Drosophila melanogaster: one gene and its partners. The protein of the gene in region 1 interacts with the protein of each later gene in a pairwise test. Each region holds a gene or a part of one and is shown on either strand. Other genes may lie near its edges.

What was found.
Region 2: the proteins of Cpr67Fa2 (region 1) and CG4328 interact in a two-hybrid assay, tested with the Drosophila melanogaster proteins (one large-scale study listed by BioGRID).
Region 3: the proteins of Cpr67Fa2 (region 1) and CG13843 interact in a two-hybrid assay, tested with the Drosophila melanogaster proteins (one large-scale study listed by BioGRID).
Region 4: the proteins of Cpr67Fa2 (region 1) and CG12182 interact in a two-hybrid assay, tested with the Drosophila melanogaster proteins (one large-scale study listed by BioGRID).

What each region holds. Positions count from the first base shown.
Region 1 is NT_037436.4:10,887,873-10,894,071, forward strand, and holds Cpr67Fa2 (cuticular protein 67Fa2), read left to right. Parts: upstream 1-3,841; 5' UTR 3,842-3,895; coding exon 3,896-3,907; intron 3,908-4,145; coding exon 4,146-4,538; 3' UTR 4,539-4,644; downstream 4,645-6,199. Other genes in the region: Cpr67Fa1 (cuticular protein 67Fa1), read left to right, coding at 2,177-2,188, 2,346-2,738.
Region 2 is NT_037436.4:12,289,368-12,299,870, forward strand, and holds CG4328 (uncharacterized protein), read right to left. Parts: upstream 6,757-10,503; 5' UTR 6,504-6,756; coding exon 6,467-6,503; intron 3,601-6,466; coding exon 2,883-3,600; intron 2,731-2,882; coding exon 2,516-2,730; intron 2,460-2,515; coding exon 2,272-2,459; intron 2,204-2,271; coding exon 1,933-2,203; intron 1,875-1,932; coding exon 1,669-1,874; 3' UTR 1,589-1,668; downstream 1-1,588.
Region 3 is NT_033777.3:22,606,068-22,612,335, forward strand, and holds CG13843 (uncharacterized protein), read left to right. Parts: upstream 1-3,417; 5' UTR 3,418-3,470; coding exon 3,471-4,039; intron 4,040-4,087; coding exon 4,088-4,607; 3' UTR 4,608-4,648; downstream 4,649-6,268. Other genes in the region: Efa6 (exchange factor for Arf 6), read left to right, coding at 1,130-1,151; CG31156 (uncharacterized protein), read right to left, coding at 2,793-3,016, 3,079-3,208, 3,282-3,414, 4,655-4,885, 4,943-5,132, 5,185-5,384, 5,454-5,736, 5,796-6,166 and 1 more.
Region 4 is NT_037436.4:2,592,327-2,601,574, reverse strand, and holds CG12182 (uncharacterized protein), read left to right. Parts: upstream 1-1,995; 5' UTR 1,996-2,073; coding exon of another isoform or gene 2,074-2,139; 5' UTR 2,140-2,194; coding exon of another isoform or gene 2,195-2,218; 5' UTR 2,219-2,255; coding exon 2,256-2,310; exon of another isoform or gene 2,311-2,450; intron 2,451-2,504; coding exon 2,505-4,381; intron 4,382-4,432; coding exon 4,433-4,585; 3' UTR 4,586-4,725; coding exon of another isoform or gene 4,726-5,543; 3' UTR 5,544-5,599; coding exon of another isoform or gene 5,600-5,705; 3' UTR 5,706-5,733; downstream 5,734-9,248. Other genes in the region: CG16986 (uncharacterized protein), read right to left, coding at 213-554, 616-705; CG16985 (uncharacterized protein), read right to left, coding at 1,464-1,678, 1,743-1,887, 2,074-2,139, 2,195-2,218; CG16984 (uncharacterized protein), read right to left, coding at 4,726-5,543, 5,600-5,705; dos (daughter of sevenless), read right to left, coding at 6,529-7,053, 7,110-7,710, 7,774-8,014, 8,076-8,187, 8,256-9,022, 9,089-9,248.

The DNA of each region.
Region 1 (6,199 bases):
TACTCTTTTTTTGTCGGTACTATCTTTTGGGATTTATTTCTATACATATATGTCTTCTTGTCCAAACTTGGCTATATCGCCCTTAAACGACTTACAACATTCGGCTAAATTGAGCGACTAAAATCTATTTTAGTATGATTAATTTAAATTTATGCGAAAACTTCGACAAGGTTGATTCAGTGACACTAAAGACTAAGCTTTAAGAGATCTAATCACTTTATAGCCACACTTTTAAAGGCAGCCTGCTCATAACACGGCATTAATAAGTGGCATTAAATTAATAATCATAATCATATCTCGGCACTATGCATAATTATGGGAATAAAGTTCAGAGGGGATCCCCCGACTGACTTCGTGACGACAGCAAATCCAAGGGTGCTAAGTACGTAATCGATGTTCGATCTGTTCTCAGAATTACCACAAGACTGTGCCTAAATTCAATAAATCTTTTGAATGTCTTTGGCACGACGTTACCATGTTACCGAAACACACAAATCCAACTTTGTATTAAACGCAACACAAGCACTTCCTATCGATCCGAGCAGACGGACTATTTCACTCTTGGCGTGTCATAAAGTTTAGTTTTACGAGCGACGTGTTCTCATCGGATGGATACATATCTGCCCAAGGCCATGCCCCCCCAGGTTGAATAATTTCATTGGCACATCGAAAACCTATCAGCACAGTGTGCAGAAGGCAGACATTAAAGGATCAAACGATTTTAAGGCTTTAAATATGATATAAGTATTTATTAAAGATTTTTTAGCATCCAGGTCCAAAATAAGGAAAAATATGTCTTACATTTTTAGTGCACTTGAGTGAGGATATTGAACTCGTTTTATTAAATGCAAATATTTCATTTATTCTCAAAATATTTAAAACATTATTTAAGAGGTCATTAAAAGAAACAATTTGTCACAACTTTAAGACGTGGAAAGTCATATAATCATATATACTTTTACTAATCGGTACCTAAAGAAATTAACATAAACTCGATTGTTTTCAGAAAGATATTCGATACTATTAATTTTAAAAGCTTCCTGCTGACTGAAGAACTGGTTGCGAACCACTGTGCTAGAATATGATACAATATTTTGAAAAATCGCATTAAAGGTGCCGCTGGTGACACGATACGTTTGGTAGTATTTGGATTTTGGATAAGGCGGATTAGGCGCGCCTGGCAACGGGTTAATCCAGTTTGATATCTCACTTGTGTACCAATTAGGCATTAACTCACTTTAATGGCCCAATTTGTTAAACGCACACATTTCAGCACCTCAGACGGACTTCATCACACGCGTAGAGCCAAGAAAAGGTTTGACTTATCGAACTGGAAAAGTTAACCATTGAGCAGACCGGAGTAAAACCATAAATTATGCTAAAATTGTATCGAGACTGGTCGGTGTTTTAAATGCATTTAATTAATACAATTTTTTGGGTGCGCCGCCTGAAACTGAATTTGGAACCAGAAACTGGAGTCTGCGGATCTCGAACCTCCAAGCCGACCTATGTGGCTGCGACATTGACATTGCCGCATGGGGTTCGTATTAACTTTTGCTCTTTGCAATGCCCACACGCACAGCAGCGGTCAAGCTGGTAGGACCTTATCTAGAAATAAGGTGCCTAAGAAGGAAAATAATGTGTATCAAGTAATACATTTTAAAGAAAATTTAAGCACCTAAATAAACTTAGTTAACATACAAACATAACATAAAATTAATTATTAAATTAATTATTAAATTAAGCTTTAAAGTATTTGAAAAACTCTTTAATTATGTGAAATGAATGTTTGAAAAGGCCATACATAGTTGTATATATTATATATATATATATACATATACAATTTATATATTATTTATATATTATATTATATATCTTCACCTTAGTTGTTTGAATGTGCATCACATCTTGGTTTGATTGAAAACGAAAAGAGTGGATTTTTGAACTTGTGCGTAGCTCTTTGGCTCTCAAGTCACTCTTAGTGCTCCAGTTTGGCCAATTTCGGCTATTCGATTTTATTGTTATTCAGATGAGTTTCCTGCAGCAGAGCGTAAAAGTTGTTTCGGTGGATCTGGTTTGATGTCGACAATTGGTATAAAAACCTAAACAGTCTGCAGTAAAGTCACCATTCAGAGTCGTCTCTCAGTTTAGACAAACGCACTCCAAGCCAGCAAAGATGTTCCGCTACGTAAGTCAAAAGGATATTTACTTCGACCTAAAACGAGTTGTGTTTAGAATTCTTTAAGATATTTTAAACATCTTAAAATATTTTAAACTCCTATGGACTCAATCCAAAAACGTCTATGATCAATTTGTAACTGACTGGGATCCACCTGCTTTTATAGCTGCTCGTCGCCTCCGCTATCCTGGCCTGCGCCTACGGTGCCGCCACCTACAACCAGGAAGCTGGTGCCTACATCACCAAGATCGGTTCCGACATCCAGCCCGAGGGCAACTACAACTACCAATACGAGACCAGCAACGGCATCGCCGCCCAGGAGTCCGGAATTGGAGGAAACCACGCCAACGGAGGCTTCTCGTGGTACTCGCCCGAGGGTGAGCTCGTCCAGATCTCGTACGTGGCCGACGAGAACGGTTACCAGCCCCAGGGAGCTCTCCTGCCCACTCCTCCTCCAATCCCAGCTGCCATCCTTAGGAGCTTGGAGTACATCCGCACCCATCCCCAATACGTCGAGCAGGAGTACCGCAGGCCCGCCCTCAGGAAGGTCTTTGGTTAAGCGGGAGCGGAAGTCTTATGTGATAACATTTTAAAAGAGCTTTATTACGATTTAAAAAATGTTTTAAAATAAAGAAGAAAAAAATTACATAAATCTATGTTTGTTTAAACTATTTCAAACATTTTGGATGAACTAGAATAATGGGTGCTTAATATATGAAATATGGTTTAAGATCCCACGAGGAAACGTAGCAAACATATTTCAATTGCACCTTTATTATTACCTATATTAATATTTCAATTTTCTCAAATTTTCTTGTTAAAACTATTTTTTTAAGGATATGCTTACTTTACCTTCCTATTTGTTTTATAGTGCGAATATACAGGCAATTCTATGTCAGATTTTAAGAACCAAATTAAATACCACAAACTTTCCATCCGTTGTCGAGCAGAAATTAACTATCAAGTCCTTGAAATTATAGGGGTACTTGCCCTATAAAACGATCTGTAGTACTTATTCCGACCAATACCATCTACTTGACACCACTTATTTAAATAAAATATGTTCCCTTATTGCGACACAGGTTGAACTGTTTATTTTTATGGCCTTTAAAATGAACAAATATATTTTAGATAACTAATCAAAAACAATTGCTTACTTAAAAAATAGAGTTTTACCAGTAGTATCATGGGTTTAGTTTATTAAACTGCCCTTTTAATCTGTTTAATTAATCTGCTCATTTCAAAATGATAACGAGTTGATTATCTCATCTTTAATATTTTGTACCATAATTTGGTGAAATAAATCGTATAATACTTTATAAGGATCGATTGTTGAATTTAATCAATTAAAAAATGTTAATTCTTAATTAAAACTTATTAGATACTATTAAAATATATGTGAATATGACTTTTTTAATATATGCATAATTTGATGTTAAATATAACTATCTTGCCAGATGAATACTTATGCAAAAGTTAAGAGCCAAATTTAAGTGCGTTTTTTGGCTCTTTACCTTTTTAAGCCGCTCCAGTTTGATCAATCTCAGTTTGGCCATTGTCATTCATATGAGTTTCCTGCCGTCTGCCGTAAAAGTTGTTTGGGTGGATCGGGTTTCGTATCGAGAATTCGTATAAAACATTGCTGCCCCGCCACAGAGTCATCATTCAGAGTCGTCTCTTAGTCGCAGACACACGAACTCCTCCAAATCAGCCAATATGTTCCGCTACGTAAGTATATCGCAAGGATAACTATAGCACAGCAGTGGAAAACGACAATTAGTGACACTAAAAATATCAAAATATTAACCAATATAATAAATAGTTTATACTAACGATAAGGATTAACACAAAAAATAAGTAAAATAGAAAACAGTTACCGGACTTAGATACCATGGATAGAATTGGCCTTTCAAGACATTGGAAATTTCATCAAAAACCAAATTGCAATAATAACATTGTCTTCTAGATGCTCGTCGCCTCCGCCGTCCTGGCCTGCGCCTACGGTGCCGCCACCTACAACCAGGAAGCTGGTGCCTACATCACCAAGATCGGCTCCGACATCCAGCCCGAGGGCAACTACAACTACCAGTACGAGACCAGCAACGGCATCGCCGCCCAGGAGTCCGGAATTGGTGGAAACCACGCCAACGGAGGCTTCTCGTGGTACTCGCCAGAGGGTGAGCTCGTCCAGATCTCGTACGTGGCCGACGAGAACGGCTACCAGCCACAGGGAGCTCTCCTGCCCACTCCTCCCCCAATCCCAGCTGCCATCCTTAGGAGCTTGGAGTACATCCGTACCCATCCCCAGTATGTCGAGCAGGAGTACCGCAGGCCCGCCCTCAAGAAGGTCTTTGGTTAATCGAAATCGGGACTAGAATGTGCCAACATACATATGAAAAGCTTTATTACGAATCGTAAAAATGTAAATGTAGAAATGAAATAAACGTCGAAGATGTAAAGAAAACAATCTTAAAAGTCAAATTTGCGTTGCTTAGGTTTACATGGACCAAGATCAGAATTCAAAAAATAACCGTGGGGAATATCAAAAAAATAAATCCCAACTCCTTAGCATCATAAATCCAAGGATATGATTGAAGGACATTTAACGATCATAATCAAGAAAAACCATCATCTATAACAACAATTTAACAATTTCTGTTTCATACCCTTTGTTTAAAACGGGTATTCAAATCGATAAAAATAACTTTTTACTAATGCAATTGTAAGTCAGTGTGAAAACAGCAGAGAAAACGCTATAGTCGAGCAAACAATTTTTAAAAAATAGTGGGCGTAACATTTTTTTGAAGTTTGTGAGCAAAGTCTGGAAACTGCATATTTAATTCGAATTTTGTAGGTTTCATATTTCCGGAGACCTCAAAGTTCAGACAGACGTACGGACACTTGGCAGATCGATCGCAGATCCTTCATCCTGTTACAAACTTTTCATCGAATCTAAAGTACCCACTTACTCTACGATTAACGAGTATAAAACTTGGTATTTGTTGGAGTGATTTATAAGCTGTTATATTATATACATATGAATTGTTTTGGCTTACTTACCACACACACTACATTAACACCATAGTCTGTGCTAATAAAAACTTATATTCAATAGTATACTTTTTGGATAACACCAAAATGCCAAAGGTTTCAAAACTTATTTAAATGCACGCTAAACTATAACTATCTCAAATCGGCAGCAGTCGTTAGACATTTACGATGACACTTGGTGTTTTGTTAGAGTTTCAAGTTCGTCTCAGATCCAAAAGCAAACTGCTCTGCCGGCATTTGCCCGCATTCATATTTCATTTGCATATCATTAACAACAAAAGCCGCTAATCGAGTGACAGAGCGTAGAGTATTTTGGCGCCTCCATATCGGATACTCTAACTATTCAGTAGGCGGTACGTTGACTTGGTAACTGGGTTTGGTGATCACTGAAAGCTCAATACCCATTCACTTATAATCAAAATATTTTTATACATTTTTAGTTTAATTAAATCTTTTAAATTTAAATAAAATTTATTTCTAGTACAGTCAGCTTTTCCTTTTAAAATTAAATGTTACATTAAATGTATAATACATATATATTTTAAATGTTTCTTTTAGAAAATGTATCACTCCCCAAATCATATACATTTGTATTATTATACATTAATTTTACTCAAGAGAAAGAGTGTGTCATATTCGCTGAAATATTTCTGGTAACTCCAAATTCGGCTTACGATTTATTTATTTATTATGAATATAAGTCAAGATTAGATAAGAAAAGAGCCATTGTGTGGCAGCGTCTGTAAATCGAGATCGTTGATCTGTGATTTCTAAGGCGCAGATAAGGAGAGGCCTTTACTCATAAGTTGGCCTGGGTTATAGAGCACCTGGGTCGTAAAACCGTAGTTAAAACAAACAACAGATGACAAAGCAGCTATTAGGCGAACTACTAAGCTCGTAAAAACGCGGTCAAATTCATATTTTCAAATGCGCGAATTAAATTAATAATTCGGAATGGCGAAGAGTCAC
Region 2 (10,503 bases), 1.4 Mb from region 1:
TGAAAGAGCATTTGAATAACTTTACCATCCATAGCAGTCACAGTAATTAATTGTGTAATTCACACATTAACGAGCGGAAAAGGATCATTCAGCGGAGGAGCACGTGGTTGAAGGTGGTGCAAGTGGTGCTCTCAATGGCAAAAGGACACTGCAGAAAGGACTTCCAGGACATCGCTTCGTCATTCTCGAGGGCAGTTTTTTCGGAATGCGCAATGCACTTGTTTGGCCTTGTCCGCTTTTGATTAATGATGCGGACACTGAATCTCTTTTTTACGGCCACAGTTAATGCGTGTATCTGCAAACGACTTACACGGATATCCTGCAAGGGAAATGGGGTGCGTGCAGATTCCTCGCCGATGATGATGGTGGTAGTGGTGATAGTGGTGGTGGTGGTGGCAGTTGGCTCAACGGTGGTTGAGTCCCGGCTCTTTGTTTGCCCACTTTTTCAGCGACCCCTACCACAAACATCCCCTTCGAGGACCGTAAGGATATCCTTGGCCGTATCGGTGTCGCGATTGGGGTTTAATCTGGTTAGCGGCCCTGACGACGATGACGACATCCGGGGAGGAGGCACAAAAACCGGATACCCGGCGAGACGGTGACGTTTAAGCACAATTGCTGTGGCTAATGTGACACATATTGTGACAAATTGCACAAACTTGTACGGAACTTGGCGGAGTGACGGGGTCCTTGTTCCTTCCGCGACGGGGTTGGATTCATCCGGAGTTGTGTAAACACGTGTTGCAGTTCCTCGTAAATCAATTAGCCACCGATTGTCCAAGTGTTTTCCATTCGAGTTCCTAAATTCGGAATCGGCCTAGTCTCGGAAGGATAACAATTATGCAAAAGCTTGCTATTCAGTGTTTGATTGCTATGAGGTGTTCGTCTGAACACAATTGGATCGATTTACAAAACAAATCAACTTGAATTTCATAATTATTTATAGTTTAGCTTTTTCAAGGATTTTATATAAATATTTTAGTAGGATAATGAAATGAATTTTCTCCTCTGCTTTCAAAAACCATATTATATTTAATATAATATAATATTGTTTTTCGGCAAAAAAGTTGTTTGTTAAAAAGCATTTTTTATAGTTTGGTTTTCTATGCCTTTGAAAGCTTAAGGATTTACCACCCAATTTGTCTTAGATTTTGGGTTTGGGACATTCCGATGCAGTTCTTCCGCTCAAGCAAAACGAAAGGCCAGGATGCTAGTTAAAAGTGCTGTCCTTGGGCGGCATTTGCAGCACATTCATGTCGACGCTATCAAACGGCTCGTCATCGTGGGGAGGATACGGTTCCGGATCCCTTCGTATCCGAGCCTTTGAACTACGCATGACGAATCGGCATTTTACGCCCATTCCGAGCCGAAAGGACGAATTCAGCAGGGTTGCGACTGCTGTGGCAAATGCTTTGTGCCTGTCAACCGAGCGGAACTAATTTCGAGACTGCACCTGCAGAGCCACCAACATGGGATGCACCAACCACCAACCCGGCCGGTGGGTGGATTGCGCAAGTGGTCCAGCTTCCAAGGGGGGTGGAAGGGCAGTAAATCCACTTATCCGGGTTCGGGGTGTTTAAGTTCGATTGCTAGCACATTAACATTCTTTTATTTTACAAGGTCTAATTTTGATTTGGGCTTAAAATTCGACGGCCTTCGCCGGGCGGACTAGTGATCCATGGAGTCCTTGACGCCGCATTCGCCGTAGGATTGCAGCTCCTCCGGCCGGAAGTAGGAGCTTTGCATACTATATAGTCGGTCGATCGGATTGATCATAGGCGTCTGGGCAAAGGGACCCATTAGTTGCTGAAAGGTGGCGTAGCTCAGACCTAGAATGGTGTTCAATATGGGCTCGCTGTTCTTGTTGCAGTTCTCTGTAAATTGTATTTTATATTCCTTGATACGTAAATATCCTTAAAGGGCATAACCCACCTTTATTGGTCTCCATACAGTTGAAGGGCACTTGCTCCTGTTCGTCCTTAATGGTGCATCGCATCCGGGTCAGTCCATCGGAGGTCGTCGAGTACGGCGATTCCAGCTGTGATTCGCTGTCGCTGTGCGCCTCGTCCTTGATTTTGGTGGCCAGACTGCTGTCCAGCGATTCCTGCGAGTCCTGCGAGTCACTAGCTCCTTTGCTGGGCGGCTCCTGCTTGGCCTTCTTCTGAATCTTTTTGACCTTGGCTCGCTGGTTCTGGAACCAAACCTACAAAATACGATATTGGTTTAATAGAATATGTAATGATTAAATTCCATTTAAACCTCTTTACGCACCTGCACAATTCTCAGGCTTAATCCAGTATCCTTGGCCAGATTCTCTCTCACTTTTCGACACGGTTTCGGTGAGACTTCGAAGGAGGCCTTAAAAGCTCGTCTTTGCTGCGTGTTTAGAATGGTTCTCGGTCGCTTGGGTCCTCTTCGTCCGTCTAATTTGGGCGGGAAAAGCTCATCGCCATAGAAATCTACATAGTTATATGGTTATCATTGGGAACCGATTTCGAATAGGGCCATTACCCACCGTATCCCTGTAGCATCTCCACCTCCTTCTCGTAGTCGAAGCGGCAGAAGAGCTGCCCCTGTTTGACCACATACTGCTCCCCCTTCTTCAGCAGAGCTCCACACACCACACAGGCGAAGCACTTTAGATGGAAGACGTTCTCGTGGCATCGCATCACCAGCTCATCGGCGGCGATTTTAAGGCCACAGCCAAGGCAATGATTGCGGATGTAGAGTCTGTGGAGCGAAAATATAAATATATATCATATCATTCAAATATTAAGCTGTACCATTTAATAAACACTACCATTTTAAAGTAAGTGCAACTCACACGGAGTTGATTGTTTTAAGCGCCCCCCGTTTGGCAGGGTTCAGTAATCAGGACTCACCTCTCGTAGTCGACGCGGCAGTAGAGTTTGCCCTCCCTCGCATAACAGGAGTGGACCAGGTGCAGCGAGCAGGCGGTGCACTTGAGGCAGCCCTCGTGGAAGGAGTTCTCCACCACGCGCATGATGTAGCGATCGCAAATGGGCTGGCAGCAGTGGGCGCACTGGCTCAGCTGCGGCGATGCCATGGCCAGGCCCAGTTCCATGCCCATGCCGGAATTGGAGGCCATTCCCAGAGGCGCTTGCGGTGTGTTGGATGCCGATGGAGGTGCTGCCGGCGTTGCAAAGCCGTCCATTCCATTGAGGCTGCACTCGCCCAAAGTGATGCGGTTGCAGTGTGTATGGTTGGGTGGTCCTGGACCATGTCCTGTTCCTGTTCCCATTCCGGTTCCTGTGCCCGGTCCCATGCCCATCGGTTGCTTGTTTATGGCCATGTTGCTGCTGCTGTTGGTGCTGCTACTGCTGCTGCTGTTGCTGCTGTTGTGGTTACTGCAACTTCCGTTGACAGTTCTGCTGACTGACGCCATTTTGTCATTGTGGGCTACTCCGGCTTTGGTACTCGCACTCCTTCCGGCTGCCACCACCACCGATGTTGCTGCTGTCGTTGGTGTTGTTAACATGCGTTCATTTCCGTTCAACAGCAGCAGTTGATTGAGGCCCCCAGTTTGCGGCAGTTGGCCAGCACCCAGTTGCTGCTGTTGACATTTTATGTCCATCGGAACTATTTTGGTTTTGCGGTCGTGTCGTTGGTCCAGATCAGCCCACCGCCCCAAAGGAACATGCAAATGAGAAACATTTCAGTTATTTTTATTTTCAATGTGGCCAAGAGCGCCCTCAATTTACAACTATGGTTCGGTCATCAGGCATAAAAAGGGTTCCCGTTTTTGCGGGCAGGACCAATGTCCATCTGCCTCGCACTGTGACCATAACCGTTTCGAGTTGTAGTAAATTTGTGGTTTTGCAATTATTGAAATGACTTTTCCACCAACGGAAAGAGTGTGAGTAAATGTGCGAGTGTGAGTGCGACTGCACTCGAAATTCCCCGAAATGCCATGCGAAATGTGGCATGTAAAAAATACGACCAACGTGGCGTATGCGTAACCGATGCGTATGTGCGATTGTTTGGCTTGGTGGCAAAAAATTACTGTACATTTGCGGTGCTGACTGGTTGGCTTTTTGTGCCTTGTTGTCTCAATTTATGGCAAATTGTTGAAATTTCAACGTAATTTGTTTCGAGCTTCCAGCTTTTGTGCTCCTCTGTGTGTGTGTGACGTTCATTTTGTTTGGTTTTTCCCTTGTTTTCACTGGTGTGCGTTTCACATGCGTGTGTGTTTGTCATTCCGCATTTGAGTGATTTAAATGTGTGCGTAATTTCATTAAATGTTTTGCAAAAATAATATCTGGTATGCCAATTTATGCCAGAAATATGCCCAGAATGTTAAAGTATTCCAGCCATCGTTTACATTAACAATTTTTGCTACACCTCTTGCACTGATTGACGTGAATTGCTCTAGACCAGCTTGCACTCAGTTTGTTCTGCCAAATGACAAATAAATGCGAAAATAGTCGATTGCAGCTCTCAGTACATTTAATTGGACTGCATTTAATTGCCATTTGGATATAGAAAAACTATGCAGAAAAATAGCTGGGAAAATGGGAATCAAATAGTGTTTTGTCAACCAATTAAGCGATTTGTAAAATAGTCAGCAAATATTTTTGTGACTTCAGTACTCTAAATGAAATTCAATATAGTTTTTGGTTGATTTATACAAAACCACCGCAATATAAAACCTGCAGAAACAATTTAGCTTTGCTCTATCTAAAAACATTTAGAAATTAAGCTGAAAACTTGTTCTTTGAATTATTTTGTAACTTTTGGCATTAGCATTATATATATTTTTTTAAAGCATTTTTTGAGTTTTCACCTTTATATACAATTCTTTTTATATATTTAATAATGAATTAAACTTCATTTATGTGTAACAAAATATTGCTGACATGTGTGCTATGTTCGTTGGGTGTATTTTGGCTTTATAAACTTTTCAATATGCTACTTATTCATAGCAACTGAAGTCTCCAGCAGTGTTTAACCCAATTTCCAAGGTCCTGATCTCCCCATTCCCGATACCCATTAACTTGTGACACTTGGAACTGCGGGAAGCTATTTCCTAAGATGTGCAGCGGAATAATCCGCTCAACAACCACACCTGTTACACTTTTAGTGCTCTGTCATTGCCATTTGACATTTGAAAATATACCAACATGTTTGCCGGACATGTCGGAGAATAGAGCTCGAGGATTTTGGGACGACAAGTGTAAAGCCGACATTGATAGCACTTCCACTTGCCCACGCTCTAATTAGATTCTAATGTGCAGTGGAAATCGAGGGACGGGTTGCAAATGCCACCCCTTGCAGTGCTCATAACTATGTAGATTATAAACGAATTTCAATGAATCCGGGGGCTAACCGAGGGCATTTAGCTGGCGGATTTCCACCCTTACGGAAAATATGCTCGGGCTTAGCAAATAAGCATGAGGATGAGGCTGGAGGGGATCAGGATTTCGGTTACGGCGGCTGGCGGCTGGCTGCTGGCGGCATATGTTGGCAGTCGACGACAGTGAGTGGGTAAGCGGAAACCCTTGGAAATGCTTGCCAGGATGTCGGCTGCGCTGCCAGGATGCTGTGTGCTGCCTCCGAATCCGCTGTCAGTTGCCAGCAGTTCGCTCGGCAGCAACTGACAGCGCTTTATTTAATCGGATTTGAGTAGACAATAGAGTTATGGTGCCATTGCCGTTTTGTTGTGCCAGCAATCGCAGCGCAAATGCTTTGTTTTGTCCTAATCTCTGACAGAAGTCAAAATTTGCTTTGCTCTGGAAAATATGTTGTAATTTTCATTGGCTTTCAGCCAGTCGGATTCGAGTGGACGTGTGTGCAGTCGGTCATATGCATACTTGCCACTCTGGGTGCTAAATAGCATTCACTGAAGGCAAATTGAAGCAAAAGTGTTGAGATGCAATGTTTAAACTTGGGATTTGCTTTGTGCGAAGTAGAATTTAGCAAGAAAATGGCAAATTTTCACAAATAATTCATCTTTGGTTTCTAATAATTTCATGTGCAAAACTTATTTATGCTGCTATTAAGTTAGTATTTTTAAAACCAATTCAACTGAATAAAATTTGTATAAAATGTGCTGATCTCTTTGACTGTTATAAATCAAAATCACTAATGGCCAAAACGAAAATCCACTTTATACCTTTGAAAAGTGTGCAATTGTGATATCACAATTACCGATATAACACATGATACATGGTGGCTTATTCCTAATTCACTTATCTAAAGGTATTTGATTTGAGCTAATCACTTGATGCTAATATTTAAACTATGATTAAACTAGAGAAAAAGTGAATGAAATATATGCACTCTTCTACTTGAAGCTATTTACATACCATAAATTAATGAGCACTTTTTAACATAATTAATAAACTGATAGAAAAATGCCGACGGGATTGGGAATGTTGGGCTTGTAATGCCGTCGGTTATTGGAATAGATTCAGACTTCATATTCCTCGGGTTTGCCCATACTTACACATTCCGATCTGCATGGGATGGTGTTCGTCGATCATTTTGGAATCGTTCAGTTCGGGAATAGAAAAACTATATAATCACGTTCACAGACATTTATGAAATTTTCTCAGGGCTTTTCACGCGATTTTCCTACGTATCTTTGCACATTTTGTGAGCACAGCTTTCAGGACGCCTAAGGACACATTTGGGGACTCGAAATGCAGTTGGCAACTGTTGTTTTGGGGCGGCCAGTATCGGACTTCTGACCTGGCCCTGTTACGAAACGCGATGCTTGAATGATTACGGACCTCTGATGTTAATGAAATTTGTTAAAAATCATTTGCTCTTCTTTGGCCAAATGCACAAGCATCTGCTGCCGAGATAGGAAATTCTCTCCAACCCGAAGGAGAAGTGCCCACTGTTTGCCTTTGTGTGTGTGTGCGTGTGCGCCATTTTATGGCACATCCTGTGCTCCCATATCCTTTTTGGCTCCATCCCCGTGCAAGCCATTGAGAGCCAGCCATTTGCCTTTCCCCAGCTTCCGTGAGATTCGCCAGCTTTTGGCGCATGCGTCGATCGGAACCCCCATATCATACCATCTCATCTCATCTCATGCGTTTTAATGCCGATTTTGAATCCGGGTGGCGCTTCTGAGTTGTTTTGGCTTTTTGTGTTTTGCTGGTTTTGTTGTTGTTGTTGTTGTTTGATTTTTCATTTTGCACTTTTGACTTTTGTCTTTGTCTTTGCTCGTGGGCACATTTATTTGTTTTGTTGTACGTACGTATTTTGTATTGACAAAAGGATGTTTGGCTCGGCGATTTCTTGCTTGCTTTGTCGCCTCAGCAACAACATCCCCGCCCCCCCAAAAAAAAACAGGACTCTCCCTCAATGGCTGGAATTTTGTTGTCCTTCTTTTCTTATTTTTATTTTTACCGTGTGTGTGTGTGTTTGTGAGCTGGCTAGGATTTTATTCCCTTTTCCCGCAGTGGCTTGTACATTTTAAATTTATTGATTTTCGAACGCTATAAAAAGGACTAAGCTTAAAGACCAGTCCCGCTGCTTTAATTAAGGTTTGCGGCCCAGTGTCCAGGAGAATTTTGCTCAAAGAGCTAGCTGTTAATGAGGGTGGCCGGTGGCCCTTTAAACCTGGCCAAAATGAATTTTCTGGTCTATTAAACCGGGGCGCCAAAAACTTTAATGTCTAAGCACTTTGCCGGCTGACTGTATGTCTAGCTTCCAGTTCAGAGTTCCCAGTACCCAGTTGCCGAGATGAGGACTTGTCTGGTCGAAACTCCTGGCTCTTGGCCTCTTTTCCGACGAAAATTCCCAGAAAAGTTTCGTAAACGCGAACGTGTTACTCACAATTAGTGTGCGGGCGAACCATTTAACTGGCAACCAACCAGCCATCTTTCGCTTTCCCAGCCCACTTTTCCCAACTCCGACGATGATAATAGTTATGTGCGGTAATCTTTGCGATTCATAATCAGTACACGGAGCACGGGGATGTGCAGGGAATTTAAAGGACAATGGAGCTACATTAAATGCTTGATCCTGGGGGATTTTGCGATGGGTACTTCTTTTGTTGTGCTTCTTTTATATCAGGTAGGAAACATGTAATTTCTTAATAAAGGAGTGACAATAAATGTTGGCATTTGTTTAACTAAGTGCCAAAAACAATTGCTAAGTAATGCAAGATTTAAAAATACATTTTTATAAAAAATTGTAAGATCATTTAAACTGTATTGTGTAATTCATAATAATTTATTTTGTAATTATTAATAATTGTTATTTTGTTTAATTTGTTCATTTACTAACTGTTAACCTTATATATTTTTAGTTGGCACCTTAAACGATATCTATGTGTATTATGTTAAATCTTATAAATAATATTTATTGAACAATATTCTAAGAAATCTATATTTGTAGCTGATGATGATGAGTAATTGTTGCAGTTCTGTTGTGATGTTGTGATTTTGAAATTTTCATATACATTTCTCTCTCCTCCCTTCAGCTTCATCTCGCAAAGGCTTCCAAACTTTTGGCACTTTGTCTACGCAGAGCCTAGACATGGAAACTCAAGGGCGGCGGTTTTGGAGGCACCACCGCCTCCATCCCTGCATCCATCCATCTATTCCTCCATCCATCCCGAAATCCCGATGTCATCGCCTGTGAGGGGCCTTTAGATCGCATACCACTCGACACTTGCAGTTGGGCCCTGCTAATGACAAAGATTAATTTGGGTCACTGTGTTTCCGACGGCATTCCGATATTGGGGCCATTTGCGAGGGATCCGGTTGAATTGACTGAACAATGGGGGTCAGAGGGCACAAACTACACATACATATGCATGTATGTATGGATATTATGCGCGTGCCTTTTGTATGAGTGAGTAGTGTGCAGCCAAAGTGCATATGTGTGTGTGGGTGTGTGTGTAGGGAATTTGGCGGCGTGCAGCGGAAACTGAAATTGTTCGGGGTTAATTAAACACGACATGTGTGGCATTGCGTGCATTTGTCGGCGGGGTGGGGCGATCCCGACCCGCAAGTGTGAACTGCAAAATGGGGGTCAGGCGCTAATCAATGCGCCATAATAGACAAATGACCCAACGGCCTGGCTTTGAGTTCATTATGTTCGAATTGCCGCCGTGCCGATGCGTTTATGAAGTCCCAATTCCACTGGCACTCGCTATTTTGGTGACCAGATAGCGTCATCAGTTCATCAATAATGGGCAGCAGATCCATAATTAGCACGCCAATGGGGGGACATTTTTCTTCCAGTGCTTGTCTATTTTTATATACAAGGGATTATAAAAGAACAATCCGTTAAATATAATACTCAAATAATATTCAGATATGTCTTAATGCCTAACATCGGGTGCAATTCATATTAGAGTTATACATTTCATTACTTACATTTCAGTAATTTACTTCAAATTGAATTTACTAAATGGTAACATTTAAATAAATAACCATATTTAAACTACCCAAAACTAAACATTTACTTACAACTCTGCAAACACGACATTACAGATATTAAACCTCATGGATGCAGAAATTATATTTATTCAGATTAAATAAATAGCGATTTAATTCAGGGAATAAAAGTATAATTTATTTGACCATTTGACAGCAAAAAGCTTACACACAATTGACATAAACAAATTGTGAATATTTTCCGGTAAACTGTGCGCCACTAATGGCGTGATAAATTTCTGCGCCTCGGCTTTTCCGCTTTTCCCCGGCTGCATTTGTATGCAGGAAGAGCCTGGCCATAAATGTCCTCACATGGTGAAGGCACCACCCGCAGCTCCGGATCTGACCTGTTGAGCCAATCGGACCGACAGGGCCAAAAGGAACAAAAAAATAAGTGCACAAATATGTATTTATTTATATGGCCCAAGGAGGCGGCTCGGCAAACGCAGAATGAATAAAATATTTGGCATTACAAATTGTTGCGATTTTTTGTTTGGGGCCGAAAGGGATGCGGATTGCGGATGCTGTAAGCTCAGTGGGTGGTGGATGTGGGTGTGGCCATGTGGCAACAGAGTAACGCTGAATTATGCGTTGACCAGGACACAGAATGCGAGGAGCCAGGACCAAGGACTCTGCGCCGTTGGCGACACTGTTTCCATTACTGTGTGGCTGGCGACAGGCCTAAAAAATAAATAACACAATTTACCTTAGGCATAATAAAAGTTCATGGCTGGCAGTGAAAGAAATGGGTAAAGTTGCCAGGGTTGCTGTCCTCAGCATACAGTGGAAAAATAAATCTAAATTTAACTTATTTTATATATATTATAATTTAATATATATACAAACACATAACATCCATTTGGCATATGTGATTAACTTACCAATAAGTAACGCATATTAATGATTGAGGAATAAAGTTATGAGTTCAGCTGATAAAGCTTTATAAATAAAGCTATATAAACTTAATTAGACACTAATAACTGCATAATATACATGGTTTATACTATGTGCTTTTCAACTTGGTAGTCTGAATATCCTTTCATTTAGACTGCATCATTTTTCTCCGTGCACCAGAATTACCGAATGG
Region 3 (6,268 bases), on another chromosome or scaffold:
AACTGAATTCAGACTTAAGTGTTGCGCGTAGGCAATTAAAAGGAAAAAAGGAGACGGAGACCCCTAATGTAATTAGTTCTTATGTGAAAATGGTTTTATTTTGGATGCAACCACAACCACACAACATGCTGTGAAAACTCAATGAACAATTCGTAATTGATATAATTAGGAATTTAGAAAACCAAACGGTCGACCGTTTCATACGATTTAGAGTCAAGATTGAAATGGTTAACTATAGAAAGCAGTTTTTTGTAGCACTAGTATCCAAAGTTTTGGCGTTAAATGTATACAAACCAAAGAATATATTTAGAAACGAAATTAAACAAAGAAATGTAGAAAACACAAATGTGGTTCACTAGTAGCAAACGTTTACGTTTAAGCCTAAGCTACCGGCATTCCAAATATACATGCAACAACATAATAACTCACAAAGAAAAAAGGATTATACCAGTTTTACAAACCAGCACACATCCAACGGATAGATATAAAATTTAAGTAGACGAATCAATTAAGCCATCCCACACCCACACACTGTACACAAGTTGCTGATGATTTCACCGATGTACCCATATATGACTCATGTTAACCCGACGACATTTGGTGACCCCGAGCCCTAGGTGAACCCAAAGCAGTTGCCGTTACTCGTTGCCCGTTGCCATTCCGTTTTCCCGTTCAAATGCGTTCAAATGCTACGTTCCACCCAAATGCAAGTGAAATGTGAAAAGCAAAACCCAAATGGAAGAATTCTTCAATCTTACAGATGGTTCGATGTCTTCTGCTGCTGTTGCCCACTCTGGCGGCACTTGATCCATTCGAAAAGCCATTAAGCAACTTAGTCTCTTGCCAAGATTTAGCCACATCAGCCACAGCACACGAAGCACCACAACTCAGAGGCTAGTGATCCGCTCCAAGAGGTGCTCCTTGTAAATGCCCTGACCCGTACTGATCGACCCGATCACCTGTCTTATTAAATGTGAGCAGGCCGAGGCCAAAACTCAATGTTAATTGTTAACTCTTCAGTGTCTAGCTTGGCTTAGTGCGATCCCAAAACGAATTCCCACCATCCGACAACCCGTTTTTTGTTTTCAATCCACGATTGCTAACCTCGCTTATTGTTCTACACTTGCAGAAAAGAGAAGAAAAAGAAATAATTACGTTTTATTTCGCTCTTGATTTCGATCATTTCAAAACTCGCATAACCAACACACACCTACATCACAATCCCCGCCTCTTGGCTATCGGTAAGTGCCATGCCCACATTGAACCTATCAGCAACTTCGACTTATGCGTGTAACTATCTTTTCTCTCCCCACCAGTGAAGCAGGCGATTGAACGAATTTGAATAGAATACTCCAAAATGCCAAGCTGCCTGCGACGGGAACATAAACAGATCAGATCCACACAGAACCACTGAACCACTCACCCACTCGCATACTCAGCACCACTCGCGCCACGCCACCACCCACCCACTTACACTCAAGCGTTGCGGCTGTGCCGTGTCTGCCACAGAAATTCGGAATTCGTGCACTTTCAGTCAGTTAAAACCCCATCAGGGGTTGCGAGAAAGAGATCATTTGAGACAATTAGACTACCAATGCGATAATTAACGAGGGAGAATTTTACGTTTAAAGGTCGTTCATCAGAAGACATCGGCATAATCTCGGCAACCAGAGGATTATCTCGAATTCGTGCAGTTGATTTTATATTTACCATGCTACTTATCCAGAATGAGGGTATTCGAGATCGGTTTCACCTGATTTAAAGCTACACAGTCAGATCGATTCGAATTTGAATTATCGTTCATATTTGCTCCGCCAAAGATTCTGCTGGACGGCTGTTTAGGAACGAGAATGAAAACTGCTTATACACATAGACTTATTATTACAAGAGTTGATAAACAATACTTACATCATTACCTATGCTATCATTATAAATGATAAAAATAAATTATTAATTAATGAACAATATCTCTACACAACCACAAGATGGAGAACATCGGCAGTAACAATAACGAAATGAGAATTGAGAAGAGGACAAGCGCATTAGCATTAAGCTTAAGCAATTACTACCATACCGTGTACAACTTGTTTTTGGTCTTTTGCGATACATTATCACATTTAACTGTGTAGGAACAGTTACTCCAATATTATGTACGGATTAATATATTTATTTAAACAACTATCGGTTGATTACGCGACATGTCCATGTAGCTAGAATATGAAATTAAATATCCATTACGGGGTAAAGAGAGATGGAGGAAAAAATAAAATTAAATGCATCATATATTTTTGAATATATTATGATTATGGTATTGTGTAATTATGTAAATGCAGACTATATAACATTGTTTATAATAATTTTTAACAATTCTACTGAAACGGCAATAAATTCGAAAATACAAACTAACTAAAAGTGAAAGCAACTTGCCTGCTGCAAACCAAGCGCCTAAATGTATGCATATTGTATATTTATTTTAACTGGCTTAAGAGGGCATCACTTAGTTTCTAAAGCAATACCCTTTCGATAACAATTCATTTAAGACAACTTGCCAACTTGTGGCGAGAAGGGAAACAAGAAGACGAACGTGGAGACGGTGATTTTTATGTGAACATTTATTACTAACTGATAAGCTTTGATTAAACTTAGGAAAGCCGTTATACTATGCATATACACATATATATAAATATATATATGAACTATATATAGTATATATGAATGCTCGTGTGAGCAACCAAACAATTACGATATGAATCATTAAATACTTCCGAAAGCATTAAATCCCTGCAGTTTGTCTAATCCTCCGCCTTGAACTTAAACGAGGTATCCGTCTCCATCAGCATATTTTCCAAACGTAATTCCAACTGGCGTCGCTTCAGATCCACCTTTACCACCGATGCCACAATGCGATCGCCAACGCTCAGCTGCGAATTATTCATGTTACTGTTGTGTATGAGGCCATTGCGCTCCACTCCAACGTCCACGAAGGCGCCAAACTGGGTTACGTTGGTCACGGCACCTGTGTGTCGGAATAGTTTCAATAAGTACATATATGAAATGACTATCATAGTCTCCACTTGCCAGTGACCACCTCGCCCATGCTAAGATCATCCAGCCTAGTTAGACCTTGTTTGAACAGTGGCCTCTTGTCCAGATCTGCTCGATAATCCTGAAGTAATTCGCGCTGCAGGGCAACCAACAGGAACTCCAACTGAAAGGAAATTTATTTTAAATTATTTGAACATTGCAATAGGCCTGTTTAGTATAGATTGAGTGGCACTTACTCGCTCCATGGGCAGCTTGTGCTGCTTGGCAATGCGATCGAGATTAGGCTGGGATGAGGCAAACTGCTTGATGCTAGCTATAAAGGCAGCCTTGCCCACATCCGACAGCTTTAAGTCACATTCTCCGACAATACTGAAAGCACAAAAAGTATTTGGTTTTAGAGTTAAGTTTTCAAATTTTCCATTATAATGATTGCCAAGCTAAAGCAGGAATATGCGGAGCGCTGGCATTATCCTCCAATTGTGCCGCCAGCCAAGCTTCGATATGTTGCATGTGGAAAGGTAGCATTCTACGGCCACAACGATAAGCCGAAATACAAGCCCTGCTGGCAGCATCCGCTCAATGTGCAGGATCAAACCCGCTTTGGAGTTTGCTGGGAGTATCCGCCGGAGCGGTACAAGCGTCGTCCGCTTCCGCCACCGTGCCGGGGATCGACCATTCCCATCCATTTGCTGAAGCCAACCTTCAAGCATTGTGAGAATATCTACTCCCGCTACGATTTTAAGCTTGAGCAGTGTGTGCACGAGCAAACTCTAGTAGTTGACCAGAAAATGAAGGCCCTGAAGAATGAGCTGGAGCAGGCCAAACCATTTCAGATTGAGAGGGTTAAGGAGATGCGTTACCATGGAGTGCGTTATCGCATTTTAGCCAGCTCGACCGGATGCACTAAGACCTATCCCGAGTACATAAGCCGGATGACCGAAGAGCGGGCCCTTTGCGAGTTTCAGAGAGCCTACAATATCGTCAATCAGTCAAAGTAAGTCTATTAAAAATACACAGCCACTGCTAATTTAAAACTTTTTAGCACCGATTTGAGCAATTTATACCTGGACATGAGTGAGTCGAAAAAGGAGCTAGATCAACGCGTAGCCAGGTTGGACCGGTCTTTAGGAAGTACATTCTTGAAAGAGCTAGATTCGGTGCTGCAAATAATCGAGGACTTAAACACGTATTTCTTTGGCGTGATCGTGAAGCTAAAGACGTGGGCGGAGCTGATGGACCCTATGAAAGAGCACTCTATAGAGGACTATCTGGGGCTTTTGAGTCAGGAGACGGACTTCCGGACTTTTATGAGTGCCGGCATGGAGAACTGCACCTGCAAGCGTTGCGACAAGAAGGATCCCTTGAAGCCGTACCTTCCGTGCTGGTGTCAAATGGAATCTAGCGAGGATGTTACAAATCTTAAGAATTTTGACGACGATTGTCCAAAGAACATAGCTGGCATCACGCAACACGAAAGTGACATTGTGACACCTAGTGACACCTCCTTGTTAGTGAGGGCAGCGGATGAAAAGGCCAGGCTTGCGATGAATCAGGCGGAATAAAGTCTCATTATTATTGGTTAATGAAGTCAATTGAATATTGGACTTACCTTTCCACAACGTTGTAGCTCTCAGGATGCACCCAAGTGCAATCTAATGGATTCTGTAGTTGTCCTCCAACGCTTCGGGGTTCGATGCGCACAAAACCGGCGCACTGGACAAACGATTTCTCACCTATGCTTCGCACGGAGAGCAGATCCTTCCGTGTCTTGAATGGTCCTTTCTGCGTACGATGCTCAATGATCTTTTCCGCTTTCTTTTCCGACAGACCAGCAATGTGCCTATATGGTGGAGAATATTAAAAATATATAACTTATTTGACCCTTAATCACACATACTTGAGTACACTCAGACTGGCTGTGTTGAGATCAACGCCAACATAACTGACACACTCGGACACAACGTCATTCAGCGATGCCGTCAAAATCTTCTCGGGAACATCGTGCTGGTACATACCAACCCCCAGGTGACGGGGCTCTATTTTAACATATTCACTCAATGGATCATTCAAACGACGCGCTATGGACACTATACAAAATATGTTTGTTTGTGTTGCTTTTAATTTGATCTTCGTCCAAACCTGCGCTCCTTTCGTTTGTATCCATTTTGGGAAACTCCTTGGCGGCCACATTGCTGCAGGAGTAAATAGATGCTCCATTCTCGTTAACGATGCTGTAGCGAATGATCCTGCTGTCCAGAACGCCGGCATGAAACATACCAGTTAGCCAGTGCTCAGTTTCGCGACAGGCAGTACCATTGCCCAGGCCAATAATTTTACAGCTTTTGGGAAAGGCAAAAAAGACATATTAATAACTATCTTTGCAAATCGAATTCAAAATATATATATACTTATGATCTGAAAGAAGCTGAACCAATTTCTGTTCGGCAGCCCGCTTGTTTGACATGGCACCATGAGGGTAAATAACACCAGTGTACAGCACATCAGCAGTCTCGGATATAAGTGCCAGCTTGCATCCATTTATAAAACCCGGATCTATGCCCAAAATGCGTTCGCCTTTCAAGGGGGATATCAACAGTAGTTGCTTCAGGTTCTTGGCAAACACATCGATGGCTGCCTTTGTGCCTTTTTCTTTTAAAGCCGCTCGAATCTGCCTGCACATCAAGGGCTGCACTGTAATAAGTAATTAATTAACATATCATATGGGGGTCTTAATATATTCCATATCTTACACTTCTTCGCGTAGCACTCCTCTAAGGATTTTGTGAACACCTCCCTTCTTAATGGATATTGCAAGCCTTGGTTCATGTACTGATCGGTTATATAGCGCATCAGATCTCTTTTAAGGTAATCGTTCGTTTCTATCTTGACAGAAAGCCATTTGTGCTTCTCCCCACGATTGATGGCTAACATTTGATAAGGTTTTATAGTTTTAACATCACCCTGGAAGTTGAAATAATTCTCAAACTTTGAGCTATCCAATTTCTTATCTGCATTTTGGTTGGATCCTTTACTGGAGCTTGCTTTACTAGAAGAACTAGATTTAGACGATTTCGCCTCCTTGGTCTTGCTGCACTTGAGGAATACCCGGTGCACGTTTTGCCTAGAACGATATAGCAAATAATTTCAATAGAAACTTCCTAGTTAGGTACAAGAGCTTACAATCTGCGTATTTCCTCCAAAACATTTGTGTTTTTGCTGATGT
Region 4 (9,248 bases), 8.3 Mb from region 1:
ACTCTAATCAAAACCAAAATGGAAACACACCGGCAATTGCGCAATGAGCATGTTTAATTGACAATTAACTAACAATGTACTGCTACACGTGTAATAAAATAAAGCACATTAATAACCCATAATCATTTATTTGTACAAATTATGAAACTTACTTGGGGCGCTTCGAAAATATTTTTCAAAACGAAGTAGCTCCCAATTTGAGACTATCTAGTCTAGTCAAATTTGATATACTTTAGATGTGTGCCCTTGGCTATCACCAAGTCGTCCTTCTTGTGCTTCAGGGTGCAATCGATGAAGGCAAGGTACTTGCCCACCTTGGACAGATTGGCCTGAATCACCACATCGTCGCCCAGTTTGGCGCCGTTTAGAAAGTTTACACTAAGATCTACCGAAACTCCGGGATGACATGGCTTGGACATTAGGGCGTAGGTGGTTATCAAGTCCACCAGGGTCATGATATAACCGCCGTGCAAAAACTTGTACAAGTTCACATGATCCTGGTCCACCTTTAGCTCAGCAGTGCAGGCTCCATCGCCACCGTCTACGATCTTGACCTTTAATGGAATATAAGGATGAGATAATGATATTGGTAAGGAGACTCTATGGTGATCTAACCTTCTGTAGGTGACTTTCAAAGCCCGTTGACTTGTTGATAATCTCGGTGATGTGTTTAGCGAATTCGAGTCCCTTCTTGCGAGTTCCCATATTATTTATTGATGTTGCTTTACAGACGATCCGCTAGCTTCTATATAACTACAAAATGAATTAGTTTGTCCGATCGGAACGATTAGAAATATACTAGATTTAGTTTTGTAGATAGATAAGTAGTCGTAACGTGCACTTATATCTCAAGTGTCAGATAGTAATTGTTTTACAATAGAACAATCCAACTTTATTGTATGTATGACGTGTGTAAGTTTGGATGGGACTAAATCCATTAAAAAATAAATCACAGTAGTATATTAACAAATGGATTGCTTTGATTTTTTCAATATTTGATTTCATTATCTTCGAGTGCAGTTTTCCGCTTTTCGATGAAAAGTAAACAATTAGCAAGTATCAAAAAATAAGGTAAACATAATATAGCACGATATTATGAAATAGTTAGTATTTAGTTAACGGATCCTACCTAACTATCCCCGTACTGCCCGAAATTTACATAAAAATCTGAAAATCTAACGTAACACCTAACAAAACAATTTCAAAACAAACAACAGCTGTTTTGCGATAAGCAGAATCGCCAATCGATAAGTTAAAAGGGCAAATCGATATGCAAAGTCCTACCTATTTAAAAATTATCCGTTGGGATTTCTATAGTCTTTCATCTATTTTAGTTTTAAATATCTTTATTTTGTAAATTAAGAAATAACTAACTTAAGAAATAATAAATAATTAAACTAGTACGTCTTAAGCAGAGGTTCGAAAGATTTTATTTCGTTTTCTGACGATCTACAAAAATTGTTTTAAAAATCCAGTTTTTCCTTGTCGAACTGAATGTACTTGACCTGTCCGCCCTTGGCGATGATCTTTCCATCGGACTTACGCCTCAGAATGCAGTCCAAATAGGCCATTTTCTTACCGGCCCGCACGGTATTACAATCAATTTCAATAAGTTCGCCAGGTTTCGCTGCTGCAATGTAGCTTACATTCAGGTTGGCCGTAACTCCGGGATGGGATCCTTGAAATTTAAAAAAATTTCATTGTAGATTCTATAGATTGTAATAAACAAACTTTCAAAATACCTTTCGACATAAGGGCATATGTGGTACAATTATCAACAATTGTTGCCGTAAGACCACCGTGCAAAGTTCCTTGGCGATTCAAATGCTCATTGGCCACAGTGAACTCCCCTATTGCGCGACCATCTCCACCGCCTGTAATTTTAATCTGCGAATTGAAATTTGTTTACATTTTTGAATCTCTGAAGATCCCACGAGAGAGGTGAGCACTTCACGGTTATCGATTGCAGCGAGCTGAATTATGTAATACCATCACTGATGACAGTCAGCTGTTTTTGAGAGACTTCGACGGCGTCGCTTTAAAATCGGCTGCACAAATTGTTTAGAATCTTACCATTTTCAAGACGCGGTCGAATCCATTGGACCCGCTGGCGTACTCGGACATCTGCTTCACAAAGTCCTTTGAAAAGAAAGAACTTCAGTTATCTACTCAACAAGTTACATGGTGCTCTAACCATTCCCAGTTTCTTGGCCGCCATTCCGGTGGATTTGGATTCCTGAACTGAGCACGACGAAATGACGAAAGTTACTGAGGGAGAAATTTCACATGGCGTTCAAGATGTCGGGAAATGTGAGTGTATGCGTGCTAAATAGATATACCCACACATCTGAGATAGTGATTGCCGATTTCGCGCGGTTTGTTGTGCTCGCTCTGTTCGCACTTACAAATAATTCCTATTCTTCAATGAAATAGTGTAACTGGAATATCTTGTAATATAATTGCAGTTTGTTATTGCAATTAATAAATGTTTAATTTCGTTCTAGATTATCTGGATTTTCACCTTCTAGCCAAAGGATTCGTCCGCCAGGACTCGGTACACGACTTTGTAAACAGCGATTCCGATGGAGACTTTATAGCACTGAGCGGCTCCAAATCGGAAGTGATCACTCTGGAATTGAGCAGCAAGTTCATGGTCGTGGATCCCTTTCCGTATTTTGTGGCCATTTATGATTCCAACGCTGCGGAAACACGACCTCTGGACGTTTTGGCCAACAAAGTGGATCTGGTTGCCATATACGACAGCTGCGATGTCCTGGAGGCACAGCACTTGGCCCTGGACCCGGCATACACGGCTGTGTGCTCCGTTGCCGTGCCACCAGCCAGACTAACAGCTGTTAAGCGAGCACCCAAGCTGGCAGCTAATGGAAATCTCCTCCTGGGCTCCCTCAACACTTATGGATCCTTGAGCCTAATAAACAAGTCCGCTGAGTACAATCGTTGGAACCCTGTGGAAGGACTAAATATCGCTGAAACTCTGAGGGACACTCTGCTGCCTGAAGTGGACATCGCCAAGATAAAAGACTTTAAGAGCTATCAAGAATATATTAATCCCGCCTGGATCACTATGTTTGCTTGGTTACCTGATGATGCAGATGCCACTGGCCAGCATGTTTTGGTTCTGGGAACAGCCGCAGGAAGTTTGTGGTTGCTCACACTAAGCGCCGATGTCAAAACTCTTTTAAGTCATCAAGAAACGAAAACCTCAATGGGTCGTATCTGCCATATACAAGCTTTCAAGGACCTTCTACTGGTGGGCGATAGCAACGGACTCATTCACCTGTACCAATTGCCAGCTAAGGGAAATACAGCTCTCGCCTTAGTGAAGCCCTTGTGGGAGAAAGCCGATCGCATGGGTCTGCAAATGGCAGTGATCACTGAATGTCCCAGAATGGATTGCTATTATATAACCTGCTGCAAGGCGGCGCACCTGCTGACCTGGAGCATGCCAAGAACGGGGAGCACAGACTGCCTGCAAGCTCGGATCTATGTCGGCGGAATGAAGATCACCGCTCTCTGCAGCCTGGAGAACAGTAGCTACGTTGCAGGAACCGCTGGAAGCTGTTTGTCTTGCGTACAAATTATCCACGAGAATAATCAGCTTAGCCTGCAGATGCAATCGATAGCCATGGGTGTCCTTCAGGATTTCCAGGTGATGGGACTGTGCACCAGTAGGCACAAGAACTTAATGACCCTGTTACTCTACCGCAACAAGGAATATCTAAATGAAACTGTATCTCAAAAGAACCAGTTGGTTATGCAAGTGCTCAAGGTGGGGAATCAGGATCCACTTGATCAGCTTGTCAGGCATCTGGAATCCAATAAGCCCATGAATCACTATACCGATTTATTAGCTGGACTACGTCTGCACGTTTTTGCCGAGGAGAATTGGCAAAAATTTATGGACTTTTGTCCATTAGATTCCATTGAATTTGCCGATACCGCCACTGAAGGTCAGCTGCAGCAGCTGCAAATTAAATTTCATGTTCTTCAAAACGTGATTCGCCTGCAATCGAGCCACCTCCAGCTGACAGTTCACATCCAAAAGTCCCGGGATGAACTGCAGCTGCTCCTTGCGATGCTGAATATCACACACATAAGACTGAGGCTCCAGTTTATTGGGTCATTAAGTAAGAGATCACCATTCCAGGAGCAGGCGATAAAATGTATGTTCGAGGAGGCCCACAGACTGATAAATAAACTCAATGACGACTTCACGGAAAACCATGCCCTAGGATCCACAGCAAGGACATTCGTTGAACAAATGGGCAACCATATTCAGCACTTGCACGAGATGCTAGGTATACCTGTGATATCTAATCCCCAGAAGCAACTTCATCGATGCAGTGTGTCCTTTGTGGAGGTAAGAATTCACTAGAATTCATTTTAAGACAAGACTACAGTATCCGTACAGATCTCCCTCAGCTTGGAGCGACGCTACTGCAGCCTCTGCAACCGCCAAATCCTATTCGAGCTGGACAATCTGCAAGAACTCTACGAGTCGGGGAGACATCTGACATGTCCCGTTTGCCATGGAAGCTTTGCCACGGAAATGTTTAATGCATAAACGTTAAATTTATTCTCAATCTTAATTACGAAGTGTTTTGTGTGTCCGCCTCTAAGAGCAAAGCAAGTGAATCCATGGAGACACCTCACTCGGCTTCCAGATGCCGACACACATGGTCAGAAAAGGTGTGTGTGTCATTGTTAGTACTCGGAAACATAGATAATGGGAGTGGTCTCGATTAGCAGAATGTCCTGCTCCACCTGGCGAAGATCGGACTCCAGCTTGCTTTTGCGCTGCCGCTTGGCGATGCTGTCGATAAGGAGCGACATCGACTGATACTGCTTGGTCATCTCGGTCAGGCTCAGTCGCAGTCCCTCGAGGATCTCATTTCGCTCGGCCTGCTCCATCACCCGCATACCCGGCATTGGCGGCGGACCACTTGATTGGACGGATGCCCTGGTGAAACCCTTGATACCGCGGCACAGCTCCAGCAAACGTGCCTGTTCCTTGGCACACACCGCATTCATGTCGGCCAACATCCTCTTGGTTTTCTTGAGGTAAACAGGCACCTTGCCGAAATCCTTGCGGCAGATAAACTGCGGTACCAATCCGGAATTGAGTAGATCGTGACGAGCTCCCACGGGAGTGTCTACATAACGAGGTGGCGGGGGACAGGGAACCGTTTGTCCGGCACATATCTTGTTGCGTTTGATGAAGTTAGGTACCATTGCCGGCTTTTTGCCGCCACTGCCCGGTGGTGGTAGTGGGGGCATTGGCGGCATCTTGGGACACTTGTGGGTGTTCTCTCGCCGCCATTTGATGCCCTGGCTCTTGCGCAAATAGGCGCACGGTGGGTCAATCGGAGTGTGAGCACAGCCCATGGTGCGGTGGGCTGATTTCTTGGCCTCTGTCAGGACGCGGGTTCCATCGTTCTGGAGGATAATCGATAGCTTCTTGTCCTCCTCGTTAAAGCGTTCGCGAAGTCTCTTGGCATACTTGGCTGCCCTCTCCACAACAGCTGCAAAATTGCTTAAAGTTAGGTGGGAGGTAACGATTTTTAGTACGAATCCCTACGATTTTTGTAGACAAAAATTGATTCCTTAGGTCCTTGGGCCTTCACAAAGTCCTGCTCGCACTCGAGAATATTCTCATCGTGATGGGTGATATAAACCAGGGACATTGTAATACAAATATGTAAGGATGAAGGTAGGGAACTCGAAAGCGTGCTAGTTTACTGACTATTCGTTTAATAATAACAGTCTGTTTGGTGGAGACTCCTGCGTTGCCAAGTACCTCTGCGTTGACTTGGATTGATTTAACTCGAAACAAAGGTTGCTATAGGATTTCCAGAATAAACAGAAGGCAACATCGTTTCCTGGTGATATTGTAATATTCAGATATTTTCTAGCAATCGGAATTCGATATTTGTTCTGGATCTTTTAGGAGAACACACAAAATTGGTATTATTGTATATATATTTTTTAAAGCACAAAATCAAGCTACAGCTTGTGTCGCACACGAGTTACATTATTAAATTGTAAATAATTTGTTACCATATAAAATTCGTGTATATAAATATTTCGCTTGCGTATATAAAATAATTGTTTGCATTGTAAAATTAGCACTAAGATCGTTTGTCATGGTTACATTTTGATTCCGAAGCTTAACAATAAACATGGAAGTGTTGGAAGCACGATTTAAATACGAATACGACATAGATTCAGATACGGGTTACAGATTACAGATTCAAAACAGCACACAGAAATGCTGGTGCCGTCTTACAAGCTAGATATGTGGTTTAATGAATAATGAATTTGACGATGTTAACGAATGTAAAAGCCACTCGAAATTTGCACTGTTTTTGGATGGGGTCAGCTCTCCTCAGCTGACCACCAATAGGCACTACGAAAATCTCGGATCAGCAACATGGTCCTTCCTTTGCTATTGCACGTTGACAAGTAGATGTACTGGAGATATGATTTCATTTAGCTGAACCAGCAGTTTCACTTGTTGCCGCTGCTCTCGCGCTCCTCTCGAATCCTCTTAAATGCCTCCGTCTTGACAAAGTCCACGGATCTATAGACCACGCTGCTAGGCACTGGCGCTCGAGCTCCGCCAGCTTCGACGCCTGCGAATCGCATTCCACTAGCTCCATTTCCGCCTTGTGAGTACAGATTCCCCACACTCATGCTGGATCGATTTAGCAATGGCGGTTTGTTGGTCACATCCAGATCAAAGTACTGCAGCTTGTGCTCAGTCTGCGCCGCCGCTTGCTGCTTGGGAGCAGCTGCTGCCGTCAAGCTCATCATGGCAGCCGCTGCGGAGGCGGTGCGCTGATGTTGTACCGACATGCTGCCGGGACTGTTCGGATGATGCCGATGCTGTTGGCGAGGCAGGGTGCGGGTCTCGTGAAAGAAGGCGTTGGCTGCCGCCGGGGAGTGTACATCCGTTTCATGCGGCAGCACCATTGAGAGAGGGGCACCGGAGGAACGTCGCGTTGCCGGCGACATGGTAGCCGAATTGCCCAACTAAAAAGAAGTCATTAGTAAATTGAATATGGGTGTGCACAACGTTTGTCACTCACCTTATAGGCATTCGGTTTGCACTTCCTGTCCACACTGGGCGGTCCAATGGGCTGCTGCAGTTGGGCTGCACCCAGTTTATTGGTTAACTGATCTACGCCCACCGGGGGCTTTGCAGGAAACTCCTCCGGCGGTTTGTCCTCTACAACTGGCAATCCACCCGCCACCTTTGGCTTAAGTTTCCGGTTAACCGGCGGGCAGTCCGCCTGCTCCATGAAGTCGTATCGAAAAACATTGCCCTCCATCTTTGTGGGAGCTGCATTGGTGTAGCAGTGTCGAGGCAATGTGCGCGCACTGGTGGGCGATGATGCGACTGCCTGTGCCTCACCCATCAGGCCGGGATTCGCTGCCGCTGAAATTGCGGCCACTGCACCCAGATCGGCCGCCATGAGATTCGGTGTGGATGCTGCAATGGGATTGGAATTGTGCGGGCTGGTGACTGGTCGCTCGCCCAGCAGCTGGTTGACGTTGTAGTAAGGCTGCTGGTGGGACCTTGGAATGTCATAGCTTTCCTCGATGAAAGCGGAGTGCGCGTTGCGGCGGGCCACAATGGCCGGCGAAGTATTTTCCGTATCCGACAGCTGCGGCAGATCGCGAGGAATTCTGTCAATGCGCAGGATGATTTAGTAGGCCGTTTAAAATTGAATTGAGTGTGTGTTAACTCACTTTTCATTCTCCTTAAAGTCCAATATGAGATTATTTTTGTTCTTCAGCACCTTGGCCAGCTTATCCAGCGTTCCCTGGTCACCAGCCTCTGGCAGAGATGCTGCTCCTGCTAGCTTGGAACTCTTTTCAGCTGGTGGCACGATCGCTCCTCCTTCCTCGGGCATTTTAGAGAATCGCTGCGAGTACGTTAGCACGAATGATTCGTTTTCAATGGAACTATCCGAAGGTCGGGTACTGCGATCTGTGAGAAATCTTTGTTTACTACGAGAATTCGCTTTGATATTTGCCTTTTGAGTACTTACCCACATTCTCGCGCAGTGGCAAAGGATGAGCCCACTCATCGTCATCGGTGAAAACGCTTTCCGAATCGGAGTCGGAGCGTTGTTTACTAGCATTGTTATTGGCCAATTGTTGCTGAAAGGCCAACATGATAATTAATTATAAATAATGCTTGACGCGCATCGTTATCGCTATCAACTTACCAGACTCAAATTGGTTATCTTCGGTGAGTAGGATTGATCGTTGGTCAGATTTAGACCTATGTTATTATGACTACGCGGCGTATCGTAGAACTTGGGATCCAAGTTGTTCAACGGCGTGGTGGGGTTGTTTGGTATGGCCAAATCTGCGCCGGGCAGTGGAACGCCGGGCAGGAATCTCGGGCTGCCCGAGAAGCACTCGCTGATGGGTATGTACGGTCCGGATGCGGTGCTCAAAGCGGGTGAAGCCTGTACGCTGCTGTGTTGCTGGGCAGCTGCCTCCGCCAGGGTCTGCTGCGTGAGCACCAGATGCTCCGGCAATTTGCGCACTACTCCGTTGGCACTGACCGCCAAGCGAGCAGCTTGTTGCTGCTGCTGCTGCAGTTGCTCGGCGGCTGCAGCTGCCGCCTGAGCTTGGATCAAAGCACTGTGGTTTAGATAAAGAGCCGTGGCCGGCGATGGAGGCGGTTGCTGCTGGGCAGCCGAGAGCAGTTCCTGCTGATCGAAATTGGCATCGCAGAGCATCGTCTCGCGATTGCTGTACTCCGTGTTGACATACACCGAGTCTGAGTTATTGTTGCCGGCATTCGAGGGCATCGGTTGCTCTTCAATGACCGCCGGTCGTCGCAGCTGGGCAGATCCTCCAGCATTTGGGACCGAAGCCTGAGGCGCTGTGGTTCCGGCCGACGAGTGCAACGATGTGGTGGTCGTATTTTGAGTGGAGTTGCTTAGACCGCCACTGGAGCTCGTGTGTTGGGTGCGGTTTTCGTCTGGGTGTTGCAAGAAAAGAAAAACTTAAGAAGGGGTTCTTTGGACATGGGCTTGCGGACACTCACCTGCACCCACAGCTCCTAATGGCAACTCATTCGATTGCTTTGTGTCGTGTAGGTGACACACCTGGCAGATGCAGTTCACCCAGTCGCGCATATCCGCCTCCGTCTCAGCAGCCAGGTAGTAGGTGCGCTTGGGCGTCTTGATATCGAACATGTACTGAAA